2 linked regions of the Drosophila melanogaster genome follow. The protein of the gene in region 2 interacts with the protein of the main gene of each other region in a pairwise test. Each region holds a gene or a part of one and is shown on either strand. Other genes may lie near its edges.

Region 1 (6,302 bases), 9.1 Mb from region 2:
CTCTAGAAGAATTGCAGTGCTTTGTGAGTAAACTAAAACCAAAGAAAGCCCAGGGTAATCACCTGATTGATAACAAAAAAATAGAGAATTCTATAGACAAGATCACCAACTATCAGATACCCGTTACTCAGCTAGTGTGAATGCGAACGTGAAATTTCATAATTTTTCTGGAAGATCGATAGATATTGGGAATAAAATGAGAAAAAACTTAAATATAGTTCCAAAGAGTGGGCGTGACCAGTTCGCTGGCTTTAGGGCGTTGGAGTGGCAAATCGATAGAAATTTACAAGGCTAATAAAATTTTGAAAAAATATCGAAACGTTTATCAAAAATGTGGGCGTGGCAGTTTTGGGCGTTTTAGGGCGTTAGAGTGGTCGAGGCAAATATTTTTTTTTACAAATCGATAAAAATTCACATAGATAATAAAATTATAAAAAAATATGGAAACGTTTTTTAAAAATGTGGGCGTGGCAGTTTTAGGCGATTTTAGGGCGTTAGAGTGGCCGAGGCAAAAGTTTTTTTGCAATTCGATAAAAATTCACATAGATAATAAAATTATGAAAAAATATGGAAACGTTTTTCAAAAATGTGGGCGTGGCAGTTTTGGGCGATTTTAGGGCGTTAGGGTGGCCGAGGCAAATATTTTTTTTGCAAATCGATAAAAATTCACAAAAATAATAGAATTATGAACAAATGTGGAAACGTTTTTCAAAATTGTGGGCGTGGCAGTTTTGGGAGATTTTAGGGCGATAGAGTGGACGTGGCAAAACATTTTTTGAAAGTCGACAGAAATGTACAAGACAAATAAAAATGTGATAAAAAATATCGACACGTTTTTCAAAAGTGTGGGCGTGGCAGTTTTGTGCGGTTTGTGGGAGTGACAACATGGGTCAACAAACTTGCGCTGCGTCTTTGTCTCTATTCTTTGTCTTCTATTCTGAATGCTGAATCTCAACCTTCTAGCTATTATAGTTGTTGATACGTTAATACGGACATGGCTAGAACGACTCGGCTATTTATCCTGATCAATAATATATTTACTTTATGTGATCGGAAACGCTTCCTTCTGCCTGTTATATATCCTAGTATGCCCTTTAATTCTACGAGTAACCAGAATAAAAAGCGAAGGTAATTTTTTTGCCCAACGGTACAGCGCTGTGCAATAATAAACTGTTTAAAAATGTCCATATGAACATCAAGATCGCAGCTAGAATGTTGAGATTCAGCGTAAAGATTCTAGAGACAAAACTACCGTACCGGTCACGCCTACACTTTGGAACTATTTTTACTCTTATCTCTTGTTATTTATATATTTTATATTAAATTCATTGGATTGAAATTTGAACACTATGTCATATAGCAGTAAAAGTATGTTATTAAAGAAGATTATTATTTTATTAATGGAAAAGATATCCTAGAAAAAAGCATTGTACCCGTATTTAATTAAATAGAATTTTGAGATAAAAAAGAAAACAAAACATTTTTCTTAAACTTTTTATCGGAGTTGCCTACCTCATTTTATTTCCGGTCCTAAAGCAATTTATTAAAATGCGAAGATTTTCGCTTCTATGAATCTATTAGCGGTGGTCAGGTTTTTCAAGCTCTACATTAATGAATTTAGTGACCAGAAACATTGCAGAACTCACAGGTCGCAGGGCTGAGGCTTGAGGCAAGAAGGACAGACCTACACAAATCAGATGTTCTGCTACTTTGCACCTGGTTGACTGACGCATAGCTTGTTACGGCTGCGTCCTGCAACACTGCTCCAGAAACGATGCCATGTTGGAATTGAATTCTTTAAGACTGGTTCTCCAAATGCTGCTCCCATTTCGCCAGACTTTCCGGATCCAGCTTTTGGATAAGTACTTGGGCGATAATTCATCCAACGATTTGTGTCGTTGAGCCCATTCCATTTAGCGCGCGAATATGAGCGTTGAATTTATCACACAGTTTACAAAGCATTGAAACGGAACCATTCTGAACTGCCCTTGCCCTAGAATCTCAGTAATGTGTGCCTGGAATATTAAACAAACAGACAAATTCAATGCTATAGCATAGTTGCCATCCGATATTTCAAGTGCAGTGTCCCTCAGACATGTTCTTAGATGCTGCAACTTTTCTATGTTTGTTAGTTCAGGATGGCTATCTATTATCGTAGTAAACATAGAATAGAAGTCCAGCCAGATAGCTCGCCCAAGAGGGGGCAGCGACGTCCTATGCCGGAGTGCTACTTAATTGAAGTGTTAAAGCTTTAAACAGCTTTGCGAGCTTGTTGCAAATTATTGTTTATTAGCTGTTTTTGAGCAATGAAAAGACGAGTTTTGTGTAGCGATTTTGAACGATATGTTTAATAATAGCCGACATGTAAAAAAGATTTTGTCAAAACTTATACATGAGAAATGTTGTGTAAATTTTTGAGAAATTAATTGAAAAATGGTAACATTAAGGACAGTTGTTGAAATTAGGTACAATATTACCATTTGTAAGCGTATGTAAAACGAGCGGTAGAATAACAGTATATTATCGTATCATACGTTGAACGAACTGAGAGGCAGTTCAGTCGCGTAAAGTCAAAGCCAAGAATGTAGAAGGAAGCACATTGCCGCGCGGAGTCGCAATAAACAATCGGATGTCATCAAAAAAAGTGCAACCTGCAAAAACAATATATGGCAGTTAAGCATCTAATTATTCTTTATTATTCTTTGAACGAGCCGTATTCGGTAAGGAGAACCCGGTTTTCAATTAATAACGCCGAGTAAAATAAACTGTTTTAGTTATTTTATATTTATATTTTTTTATTTACCCGTTATTCAGCTAATGCCAGCTTTTGGCATAAATATTAATAAAATGAAAAATTGTTTGGCAGTTTAGGCGTAATGCGACAGTAGGTAAAATGTGCCTGTCATACCGTAAAAACAAGCGAGACAGATAATTGTTTTTATGAATTATTACAGTTTTTTGGTTTGGGTAAACCAAAAATTTGCAATTGTAAACTTATCAAGTTACTTTTACGCATGGGGTCAATCAGATACCTTTAATTTAAAAAATTGTAATATGGTGATAAAATGAATAACTTCATTTAAAAAGATTTTAAAATTTGTTTAATTTACATTATGTTGTGCTAAATCTTGAAACGGCTTGACTTAGAAAGTCTTTACCAAACTTCGGTCTTTGAAGTTAAATTAAATTATATAATTTCGAAGAAATTATTAGTCTTTTCCAAAATCCCACTCATTCCGCACATGACAAAAATCGTTACATGTCACAACACTGTTGATGTACGGTATAAGTGGATATACAAACAAATGAATGTTTTGTGCATCAAAGGTTCCTGAGTGATATTTTGCTTTATGTGTTGTTTTATTTTAATCATAGCAAATCGACAAGATAAAAGTAATGTAAGTTTCACAGGAACTGATAAATGAAATTCACACATATCTAACGTGGGAATTGATCAATTAATTATAAATATGGAATGTAAGAACATATGTATGTTCATATTTATAAACGTTAATCAGATAAAAATTTGAGATATGTGATAAAAATAATTATATGTGAAAACTTATCTGTACATATTGAACTTCATGTATTCAATCTCCTTGGATTGAATTTGTATGAGCGTACAAAAACACTATAAGAATATTAATTAGGAGTGAATCTGATATCACCAAAAATACATACATACGTAATTGCATACAATCTTAAAGATTTGTTGGAGAATATATTATAGGGAAGGAAGCGTTTCCCTAATGCATAAAGTATTTAAGCATATGTATATAAATAACTATATTATTGATCAGGATTACTAGACAAGTCGATCTGGCCATGGGCTTGCTTCAGTTATATGATTTTCGAATTTTTTTTTTATGAATAGTTCGTCGGTGCTGTAGCAACTTTTCATTTATTTTCTATTAACTTTAACAGTAAAGTTGAATCAATACGAAATTTTGGTTAGTATAAAAATTACATTTAAACCAAGACTGCATCACTACTTTTCTTTTAAAAGGTAATATGCAGGCTTAACTCAATGAAGGCGGCGCAAGCCGCTTTTACACTAGCATATTGTTAATTCACACAATGTAAAGTTTACTTTAACTTACTTCACTACATCCTTTAGTCATTCAGACTATACGCTATTTGTTATACTCGTTATACCCGTAGAGTAACAGGGTTCCTAGATCCGTTGAAAACTATGTAGCAGGAGGAAGGAAGCGTTTCCGACTATATAAAGTATATACAAACATATGTAAATACATATATTCTTGATCGAGACAATCTGACCATGTCCGTCTGTCCATATCAGCATCAAGATCAGCCAAAATGTTGAGATTCAGCATACAGATTCTAAAAACATAGACGCAGCGCAAGTTTGTGACCCATGTTGCCACGCAAACTCTAACGCCCACACACCACACAAAACTGTCAAGCCCACACTTTTAAAAAATGTGTTGATATTTTTTCACATTTTTTTTAGTCTTGTAAATTTCTATCGATTTACAAAAAAAAAATTTCTAACGCCCTTAAACCGCCAAAAACTGCCACGCCCACATTTTTGAACAAATTTCTGGATATTTTTCAATAATTTAATTAGTCTTGTAAATTTGTATCGATATGCCAAAAAACTTTTTGCCACGCCTAATCTAACGCCCTAAAACTTCCCCAAACTGTCACGCCCACACTTTAAAAAAATGTTTAGATTTTTTTTCATTTTTGTTTGTCTTGCCAATTTTTTATCGGTATACCAAAAACACCGTAACCACGCCTCCCCTTTTACCAACAAAACGGTCACGCCCACACTTTTAAACCATTTTTAAATCCTTTTTATTTTATCTTTATCTATCGATATCCCAAAAAATGTATGCAATTTTACGTTCGACTACAGCATTCTGTTTTGTTTTTCTCTCGATTTTTTGGTGCTGGCTCTAGAGATGGCTCCAGGCTCTCTCGAATGTTTGTTTAAGAGCCAGAGTGCGGAAAGATATACAGCCAGCTGCCCTCTTCGGCTGTCACTGTATGCGTAAGAATAAAGGAGACAATGATTGTTGGGTGCTTATGTTCGCACTTCGTGTCTCAAGAAATCATTTTTGCAATAAACAGTCAACGTATTTTTATATATTGTATATACAGTTTGTCAAGAAACTGTTTACACACTGTGAAATAAGTTGAATTTTTGACCTTAAAGGTAAAAATGTTCAAACGCTATTTTTTTATGAAATATATTTTTGTTTTACTTATAAATCAAAAAACAAATTATAAATATTAAATATAAAGAAAAGAATTTTGAGACTGTCAAGAAACTCTACGTTTTCTTTATGTGTTTAATGTATGTATGTATGTTTTTATTATTATTTAGAAATTTATTTTTTGAAATGTAATTTTTTTTTTAAATATTTCACATTGCAACTTTAAAAATTGATGTCGCAAAAGATGTCGTCAGTCCCGTTTTACATATTATTAATTATAAACACAAATTAAGATATGAAACATTTATATGAAACACTTTAAAAATCTAATAGTCAAGGCATACATGTTTAAATATTATTTGAGTAGATCATTTTGCAACGAAATTGCCCGAAACTCTAAATATGTTATATCGGATCTTAGATCAAAATTGATTTCTGCCCGAAAATCGTCTTCTAGCACAAGTACGCACACATACAAACATTCTCCAAAGACGCTAGTTATTCTAGTGTCTTTGCTTTCTCGTTTATTCTTTTAGCACACACAAGCAAGTGTATTATTTTTTTCGATTTTATACCGCTCTCAATTTTACTCAAGCGGAGAGAGAGCAATTTTGACCGTCAACAAAAAAGTGGCTGCATAGTGCAAAACCAATGAATGGCCGTTACGCATCTTGTAATTCTATTGTCTTTGCTTTAACTCGGTCTGTGAAATCAAAACAATAAGGAATTCAATAAGACAACTAGCTGTACAAGCTTTAGGAATGATACGAATAAAAGTGGTTGGCACGCTTTAAATAGCTTTTATGTCGAAATTTTTTTTTTTCGATTTTCCTTTTACTTGAAATCGATCGATACGCTAACTAAGTTTTGAAATATCTTCTTGCCTCGCATCTAAATATCGGATTCCTGGTTGTCTTGATAATCTGTGATTGTTCTGATTATTATATGATTAATATAATACTATATATATATATATATATATATATATACAGTATTGCTAGTATGTTTTCACATTAGTAAAAAAATATATCTTCATAATGTACTACCATAAGTAATAAATATTCAAATTTGCTTATATTCGATTCTTAAGTTTGAAAGCATTGGAAAAACAGTTTATAT
Region 2 (8,100 bases):
AAACTTGTACCCACCACCGAGGCACGCTTTGATCCGATCCTCATTCGCAATCTTTACCCCGCTTCCCATTCCTGTTCTCTCGGCCTTTAGTCTTTGGTCTTTGGGGTTTCAGACTTCAGTGCTCGGTCGCCAGTCTTCAGTCTCCAGTCTCCAGCCTTCTCGATCGGCACACGCTTGCGCTGCAGTTGCTCCCCCCCTTTTGGGATTTTCTTTCTTTTGGTCTGACCGATGCTCCGATGGTCGGAGGAACCTTTTGGCCGCTGCCCGATCCCCCGCCCCGCACCTGTGCACATGCATAAATCGACGAATCCACGACCACGAATCCGCGAAGACTTGGGCCTCGCATCGCCGGCGGCAATTATCGCGATGTGATAAACAAATATTTTGCATCTATGGCAAGAGGAAGCGAAGGCTTTCCCGGCATTCTGGCGCTTAATTATGAACTCCGGCTGGGCTTGGGGATGGAGGTAGCCCCATCCGAGTACGAGTTTATTATTATTAAATGCCCTGCGCGTGGCCGCATGCACTTTTACCTGCCAACGTACTTGACTCGTCTTCTGGGAGGTTCGTCGCTTTTCTACCTCCTCATCTTCATCTCGATTTTTTTGTGCCTTTGATTTTTTTTATTTTTTGGGCTTGGCTGTGCGGTTCGCTGGCAGCAGTTGTTGCAATATGCAATTTGGCTGCTTATCTCCAGTTGGATACCAATCAGCTTGGCCCCAAAAACTTTGGTGGGTGGAGAGTGAAATAAAAATTAAATATGGCTCTATTTGAATATTACAGCCGCTTTCAAGGCATTGGGCTCACTGGGCGGATACTTAATGGACAGTAAGATGGTATTAAGATAAGCATTTTCAACTGTGATCTATTCCATGATATATATTTTATTAAATATATAAGAACTTTGTTTTAATGTTAAGAGAGTTGGTATAGTTACTATTGAGTTGCTGATCAGAGAATGTATTAGTTTTTGTGTAGATTTATGAATATTGTATCTATGAGCTACTTTTTGATTTACATTCTGTTAAAATCTATTTGATAGTGAACAAGATAGTATGACTTACTACTAACAAATTGTTTTGTAAGTTTAAACTCTTTACAAACTGCCTGAAAATCCCTTTCATTCCCATTTAGTCACCTTTTGATTAATGACTTTCGTTGCTTTCCATTTGCTTAGAGATTGCCAATTTAAACATTTGCGAATCTTTCGCAAAATCTCTCTCTTTCTGAAAGACGGTGCCCCATTTGATCCAAATAACACCCTTTTCCCAGAGGTTCCGAACATTACGATATTTGCATACGCTGGCTTCCGTGTATGGGTGCTATCCCCCCATCCGCTAGTATATGCATGTGCACATACAGACGTACGGTTGTGTATATATGGACCCCAACGACATTGGGGGCCTCCACCAATTGAAACAAACCAAATGCAAAGTTGTCTCTCCCACAACAAACGGATCTCGGGGAACAGGTTTTACATTTCTGAAAGTGAGACCGAGAGATCGCGAGAGTCCGAAACAAAACGAAACGAACCGAACGAACGAACGAATGAATATTAAACAAGCTCTGTGTTTCATTAGATTCAAAAGAACTCGCCGCTGCTCTCGGTTCGGAGGCTATGGGTAAAGTATACTTGTCTATGGTACGGCATAGTCTGGGAGACAGGGCCAAGTCACCTGGGCTCGGACCAGAGCCACTTGCTCGTTCCGCATCGATGAACAGCTGCTGCTGCTGCCGCTGCCGCCACTCTCTGGCTGTTTCGATTCAAGACTGCGCGAAAGGTTCAGCTTATGGCTTTTCGCTTTTTGGCCTTATGCACGGGCTCTGAAGGCAGAGACACCTCAGTTCGGTTCACAATCTCCCAGCTCCCCAGCTGCCAGCCGCCAGCTCACAGTTCCCCCAGTTCGCGAGAGCGTCGATCGGTCGTCGAGTTCAGTTGGCCTGCGGTTCGTCATCAGCGTGGTTCATGCGGCTCCGACTTTCAGTTCGCCTTTAACTCTGACTCAAGCCCTGGCATCGGCGGAACTCGGTAGTGACTCTGGTGGCTCTCCATTGACATCGCCATCTGCGTCCCCGGGCTGTAATCATAAATATATATATATCTACATACAAACTGGCCCGCTGTACATAGGCCCAGTTAGTTAGTTTGTTAGTTAGTTAGTTAGTTACTTGCTTAGTAGTTGCTGTTGTGCCGTGAATTTTCATTTTCCCAAGAGCGCTATCCGCTGTTTGTATCTTGTGAAATGTCGAAGCCCTTGATTTTAGGCTACGGATACGTTCGTTAGTCAACCTTTAAACAGCTCGCTTTAGGGCCAAAAACTAATGAACAAGTGATTTTAAAGAACGTAGATCAATACCGGTAAAACTATGTAAAAAGTGACACAATCTGTTTAATAAAAAGTTTACATCGTTCCGGTGTTGAAAAGTATCTTTTCAACACCAAGTGCCAATCGAAAATCCAAATTTGAAGTGTGTATTTTTCAATATCTTCAAAATAATCACCAGTGAATAGTGAGATTCAAAAATATATTTACATCACTCGGTGATTGCGAAATTGTGGCCAAAATGTGGGTTAGGCTCTGAGCCACAAACAAAACAAAATCTGACAACAAATGGACGCAAATTCACACATGCCGTGGCACATAAATTTATGGTTGGAACTGTAACTGGGCAAAAATGCTCGGCCCGGCAGACATCAGTAGCAGTAGTAGTGGCACCACCATCACCACCAGCGAACCACCAACCGCCACCACCCACCAATCCACCCGAACCGCCGACAAAGGGAAAAACTAACGGAATAATGCAACATTAAGCAAAATGCTGCTGGCCCTGCTAAAGCAAAGCCAACAACAACAACAACAACACCAATTTCAACCTGCCACCACCGACGTCAGCAACAGCAAAAACAACAGCAACAACTACAACAACAGAAGCAACAACTGCAACTGCAACAACATCAACGTCACCGTCACCGTTACCACGAACATCGCCGTTGCCGTATAAAAATGGAACCCTCATATGATCACGAACATCCACATCATCTGCTAACAAATTACAAGTAATATTTACATTTTTCCCATGCTAAAATTTTTTTCTCGCTGTTTAATTATATCCAACCGAAGCGAAGATACATATCTTCAAGATAATAACCATAATGAAAAATGGAAAAGGCGCTCGTGTAGTGGTGAAGAAATTCTCTAGATCGTACATATATATATATATACAATAAATATGTATATACTTATATATATGGGGGCCCATGACTGCGACTTTTCAAGACTTAGTCACAATCACAGATACTAAGATACTAAGATACAAAGATACTAGCGGCGGGCACGACAGCGAGAAACACCGTCGGGGATGTCGAATGCACACTGTGGCAGTAAGCTACAACTATAAAGCACGGTTATATATGTATAAATATATATATATGGGGGTTATACAGTATATAGTATCTGGGAATTTGCTTAGATTTTCCTTGGTGTGGCCCCAGTTTTCAGACCCCGCAGCACTTGCACTTGTATTCGTATCCGCTTCTCGATTCTCTCCGTTTCCCTCGGCAAACGTAAACGTAAACGTAAATATGTAAATGGTCGACTGCGAATAACTTAAGAACCGTCTTCGGACGCGACTCGAAATTGGTCAAGTGGAAAGTAAACCAAGACGCCGGAGAAGTCGGCGGGGGTGGAGACCCTGGGAAAAAGCAGAGGCCAAGAACGCACAGGCGACGCACCGAGAAGAAGTCTTAACATTTGGTATATTTCGGCCAGAGGTCAGGCCATTATAAAGATTTGTATCCGATCTACACAGCTTGATAGATACGCATGAGGTTTTAATATCCATATATAAGTATATGACTGTATATAAGTATTTCCCCTTTATACGTATTAGCTAGCCATTTCAGCTGACTGACTTTCGTAGTTTCCGACGGGAAATTCCCGTCTACAAATTGGCTGGAATTATGAATGGAAATGAAGCCATGAAATTAAATTAAGTACAGATGAAAAGCTCTGATAAGTCCGCACACACTTTTCGTAAGAAATTCGAAACCGAAAATCACAATTAAGAATGTCTCATGGGCGAAAGCCTGTCGCATTTTTCGTCACATTTTCCAAATCTTCCTGCTTGGGATTGGCTCATCACGGGACGGGGCATTTCATTTCATTCAGTTTGATCTTTTATGGCTGCCCCATAAATCAAGTCAAGGCTGCGATCTACCTAAAGTTTGCTAACTTCGTTTTCAATCTAAATAGTTTTCAATATCAAATAAAATTCTATGGCCAATAAACAACCATCTGTATATGTGGATTTCCAATCAATGTTTGAAAATTAATTAAGGCTTTACCGTGACTAAGCTGGATTGGAAATGCATATATCCAATTGAAATTTACTTATTTCCTTTAGAACTTGTTTTTGATTGTCCGCCTTTTACACATTTCCCGGATACTAAAAGTGAATAGTATTTAAGAATTAATGTTTGCTTGATCATTTCTGGACTTTCCCTACTGCAACCAGGAACTTAAGTTTTCATTGACGTAAAAGGAGATTCCAATGGTTGTAACTTCTTGGAAGAGAGAGATAAATCTTTCGAAATGTTTATAAATCGTGTTTGGACAGCTTAATCGCCTAATTGTATTGATGAATCTGAAGAGTACACTCCTATTTTAAAATGAAATCCTATTTTAACTTGATATAACAGAATTTAATGTATTACAACTACATGCCATTCACGGCAATCAAACTATTATATTATGTGAGCAAAAATCCCTTTCCATTCAACAAAAAATCATATAAGAATTTCTTTAGGAATTTAAATATTCAATATCATCAAAAACAATACTGAATACTTTGTCAGATTTCTAGTGAAACCTTAGATGCGTGCTTAGTAACTGTAATATTGAAGTGGAAAAATAAAAACATTTACCATTAAACAGGATAATAGAGGAGATCGCCAAAGTGGTTAGACATATCCGATTCGACGTAACATCAATGATATGTCATGATTGGCATTAAACTTGGCAGATTACCAAGGAAATTAAATTATTGCTCATTCAACATTTCCCGAATGGCAGAAAAGTGATTTTCGGTACTTTCACTGTAGATTTAAAAACCTGATAAATACTTTTGGTCGATTTAAAAATACATGAGAAAAAATCCAAATCTAACTTGCCGTTTTAAACGCTTATAATTTGTTAACAAAATATTTATATAAAACGTTTTGCAATTATACTAAACTGACCTAAAGTTGGACTTCGCATTTTTAAAATTTCTTTAAAATTGTTTTATGGTTGTAGGATAATTTAAAAAAATGTAAAAGAATACAAATTTATTCACTAACATATACATAACAGAAGATCACAAAAAGCTTAATACACGGGAATACACCCGAAACTAAAACTAAAACTGATTTTAAAAGATATTCCTGCCCGCAAAATCGAACTTACTTCACATGAGCCACATAAATGTTTTCTGAGTAATTAATTTTAATAGCACTAATTAGTGGTCTAATAACATTTAAGGCAGTCAACACCCTGTAAAACGTCAACCCTAAAAAAAAATATAAGGGTTGGAACCTTTGAAAACACCCTGATTTAAGTCCGGTTAGTTGTTTTCGAATCCAGCCAACTAGCTAAGTACGGATCCTCCACATGCAATTACTCTACTTAGTGGTACGAGCATGCAGCACTGCCTCCATTTCCATGCAATCCATATAATTTAGTACCCCTCCACCTGCGAGGGTGTATACGTATAAGTATCTGTATGTGTATCTGTATCTGAGCACGTACATGTATCTGTTGGCTGCGTGTGCTGGTGTGCGTGCTAAAATCCATTAAATTTTTGTATCTTTTTTATGCTCCTAAAATCGCTTGTGTGAGAACTGGGTCTTCGTTGTTTCTTCGGCATGGCATGGGGGTGGGTGGTGCCTCAAGAAGTGGGGCTGGGGGGATCCACAGCGACGACAGCCGCAATAAACCTCATTAGCCGAACGAAAGCAGCAGCTTCGGCAACGTTCGGCCCTCGAAGATGGATGGTGATGATGATGATGACGCTACTCTCTTCGCTTGCTTCATTAGTTTAATTAGGTATGCCCAGGCCAGGTCACACATACATACACACATATATCGCCTCTATATAGAAGGCACAGGTATGGAGGTACCTATACCTTATAGCCCAATCCATTGTGCGTACCGATCTCATTCCCATTCGCAGCGAGGCAGGTAGCTCACCTTCATGTTCATGTTCATTAAAGCTAAGATGGCGGCTCTTTAGGCCCGGATGCTGGGATGTTTATGCTTATTGGTCAACAGCATCTACATGCGGCCATACAGATATATGCATATACGTACGATTATATAGGCGGCCATGCATATGTATGCGTAAATGGCCGATCCGATCGACCGACCGACCGACCGACAACTCATCGCGGCCCGCTGAAAGACCGGGCCTGCGTCGTTAAGTTATTCAAGTACATCACACCTGGGCCGCAGCTCCAGCTCCACAAGTTTATCCATGCTGGCATACACCAGCGCCCCTACCTATGCCCCAACCTCCAACTGGAACTGGGCCCAAGTCGTGCCAAGTCGTTTGGGCCAAACTCGTTTTCTTGGCCTGCGCTGAGCTCCACTGTGCACTGTGCTGTGCTGGGCCTCTGGAAATCTGTTTTGTATGCGGGGCGCCTGCAGCCGCAGCAGGCAGCCAATAGACTGCAAATGGAGCAAATGGAGAGCCACGGCAGATGCCTCTTCGCCAGGCGCTGTGGCCACACCCACCTCCAGGTCCCACCAGCCACCTCCTACTCCGCCACTTTATCCAGATTCAGCCTCGCCAGTCGAGCCGAGCCGGCTTTGACTGTGGCCGAAAACCAAAATGGCTTTTATTACCTTGCCGCACCGCTTGCATTTCTCCACAGGCTGCCAGGCTGCAAAACTGGCCCAATACGAGATCGCAGTTGAGGCGCCAAATGATTTGCCATTCTAGGCATGCATCTCTTTGGTGGGCAAATCTCGGATGCCTAACTATGCAATCGAGCATTAGATTGGATTCTAAGCGGAGCTCGCAATCAGATCTACATAAATTATATATCAAGGTTGTTCATTACCATTTTGCTGGGCAGAAGCTTTCTAAAATGTATATGAAGCTAATCGGATTACCAATGGGATTTATCTCAATTGGAACGCTGGCACTAGAGCCTAATCATGCATAATTGAAATTGGTATATAATTAAATTTAATAGGAAAATAACCATTTCCAACATGTTAATCTTATGGATAACTAGATCAGATTAGAAAGCGCAGTAATTAGAACTCACTATTATAATTCCATAATTTTCAGATAAGCCAGTTACACGATAATTTCGAAATATGCACTGATTTCCATATCAGTGTCTAAATCGTTCTATGACATACCCAGCAACAAAATCTCCCGAATAATAGAATGCCATTGTTCTTCACTCTGTTTTGTTCTGAATCCGAGACAAATCTGCCCAATTGTTGTCACATACCTGTCCGCAACTCAGAGTATCCCCAACTGGTCCCAACACGGCGAATAGACGACCAGTGGCTAGACAAAAGGTATTGACAGCTCACCGAAGCGGTGGATCTGTCTTAATTACTGTCCCATTTGCTGGAATGTCAGTTTGTCAACCGAATGTTGCAAGATGCAGCGAAACGCTTTCTAAAATTAGCCAGAAATATGGGATGACAATGTTTAGATTAAGAGGAAGCCGCAAGTTTAACTTTTTTATTGCCAACTCCTGTGACAATTGTCCCCCAAATGTACATACATATATACATATACATATACATATATATGTATGTATATTTATATATGTGGGGATGTCGGGTTGGGGGTATCCAACTTAAAAGGCTGTCTTGAGCAGCGCGGCAGAGCGTCACATGAATCACAATATGCTAAAGCGCCTGACACTCTCCAGATCAATGCGGCTTCTTCGGTTGGGAGTTGGTTGGCTGGCGGCTCCTGAATGAAGCCAGGGGCTTGTTAAAAGGGAGGAGTTGCCTACTTTTGTGGCAGCCACGAGGGGAGTCTCCCCTACCACCCCTCACAGACCGGCTCAGTCACCTCCAACTACCAACAACCAAC

Evidence for each region. The genes of interacting proteins can lie anywhere in the genome.
Region 1: the proteins of Sox15 (region 2) and gus interact in a two-hybrid assay, tested with the Drosophila melanogaster proteins (one large-scale study listed by BioGRID).

What each region holds. Positions count from the first base shown.
Region 1 is NT_033778.4:5,125,322-5,131,623, reverse strand, and holds the start of gus (gustavus), read left to right. Parts: upstream 1-3,302; 5' UTR 3,303-3,398; intron 3,399-4,100; exon of another isoform or gene 4,101-4,221; intron 4,222-4,281; exon of another isoform or gene 4,282-4,375; intron 4,376-6,302. UniProt on the Drosophila melanogaster protein: Involved in the localization of vas to the posterior pole of the oocyte. Required maternally in the germ line for efficient primordial germ cell formation.
Region 2 is NT_033778.4:14,206,246-14,214,345, reverse strand, and holds the start of Sox15 (Sox box protein 15), read left to right. Parts: upstream 1-1,932; 5' UTR 1,933-3,005; coding exon 3,006-3,058; intron 3,059-8,100.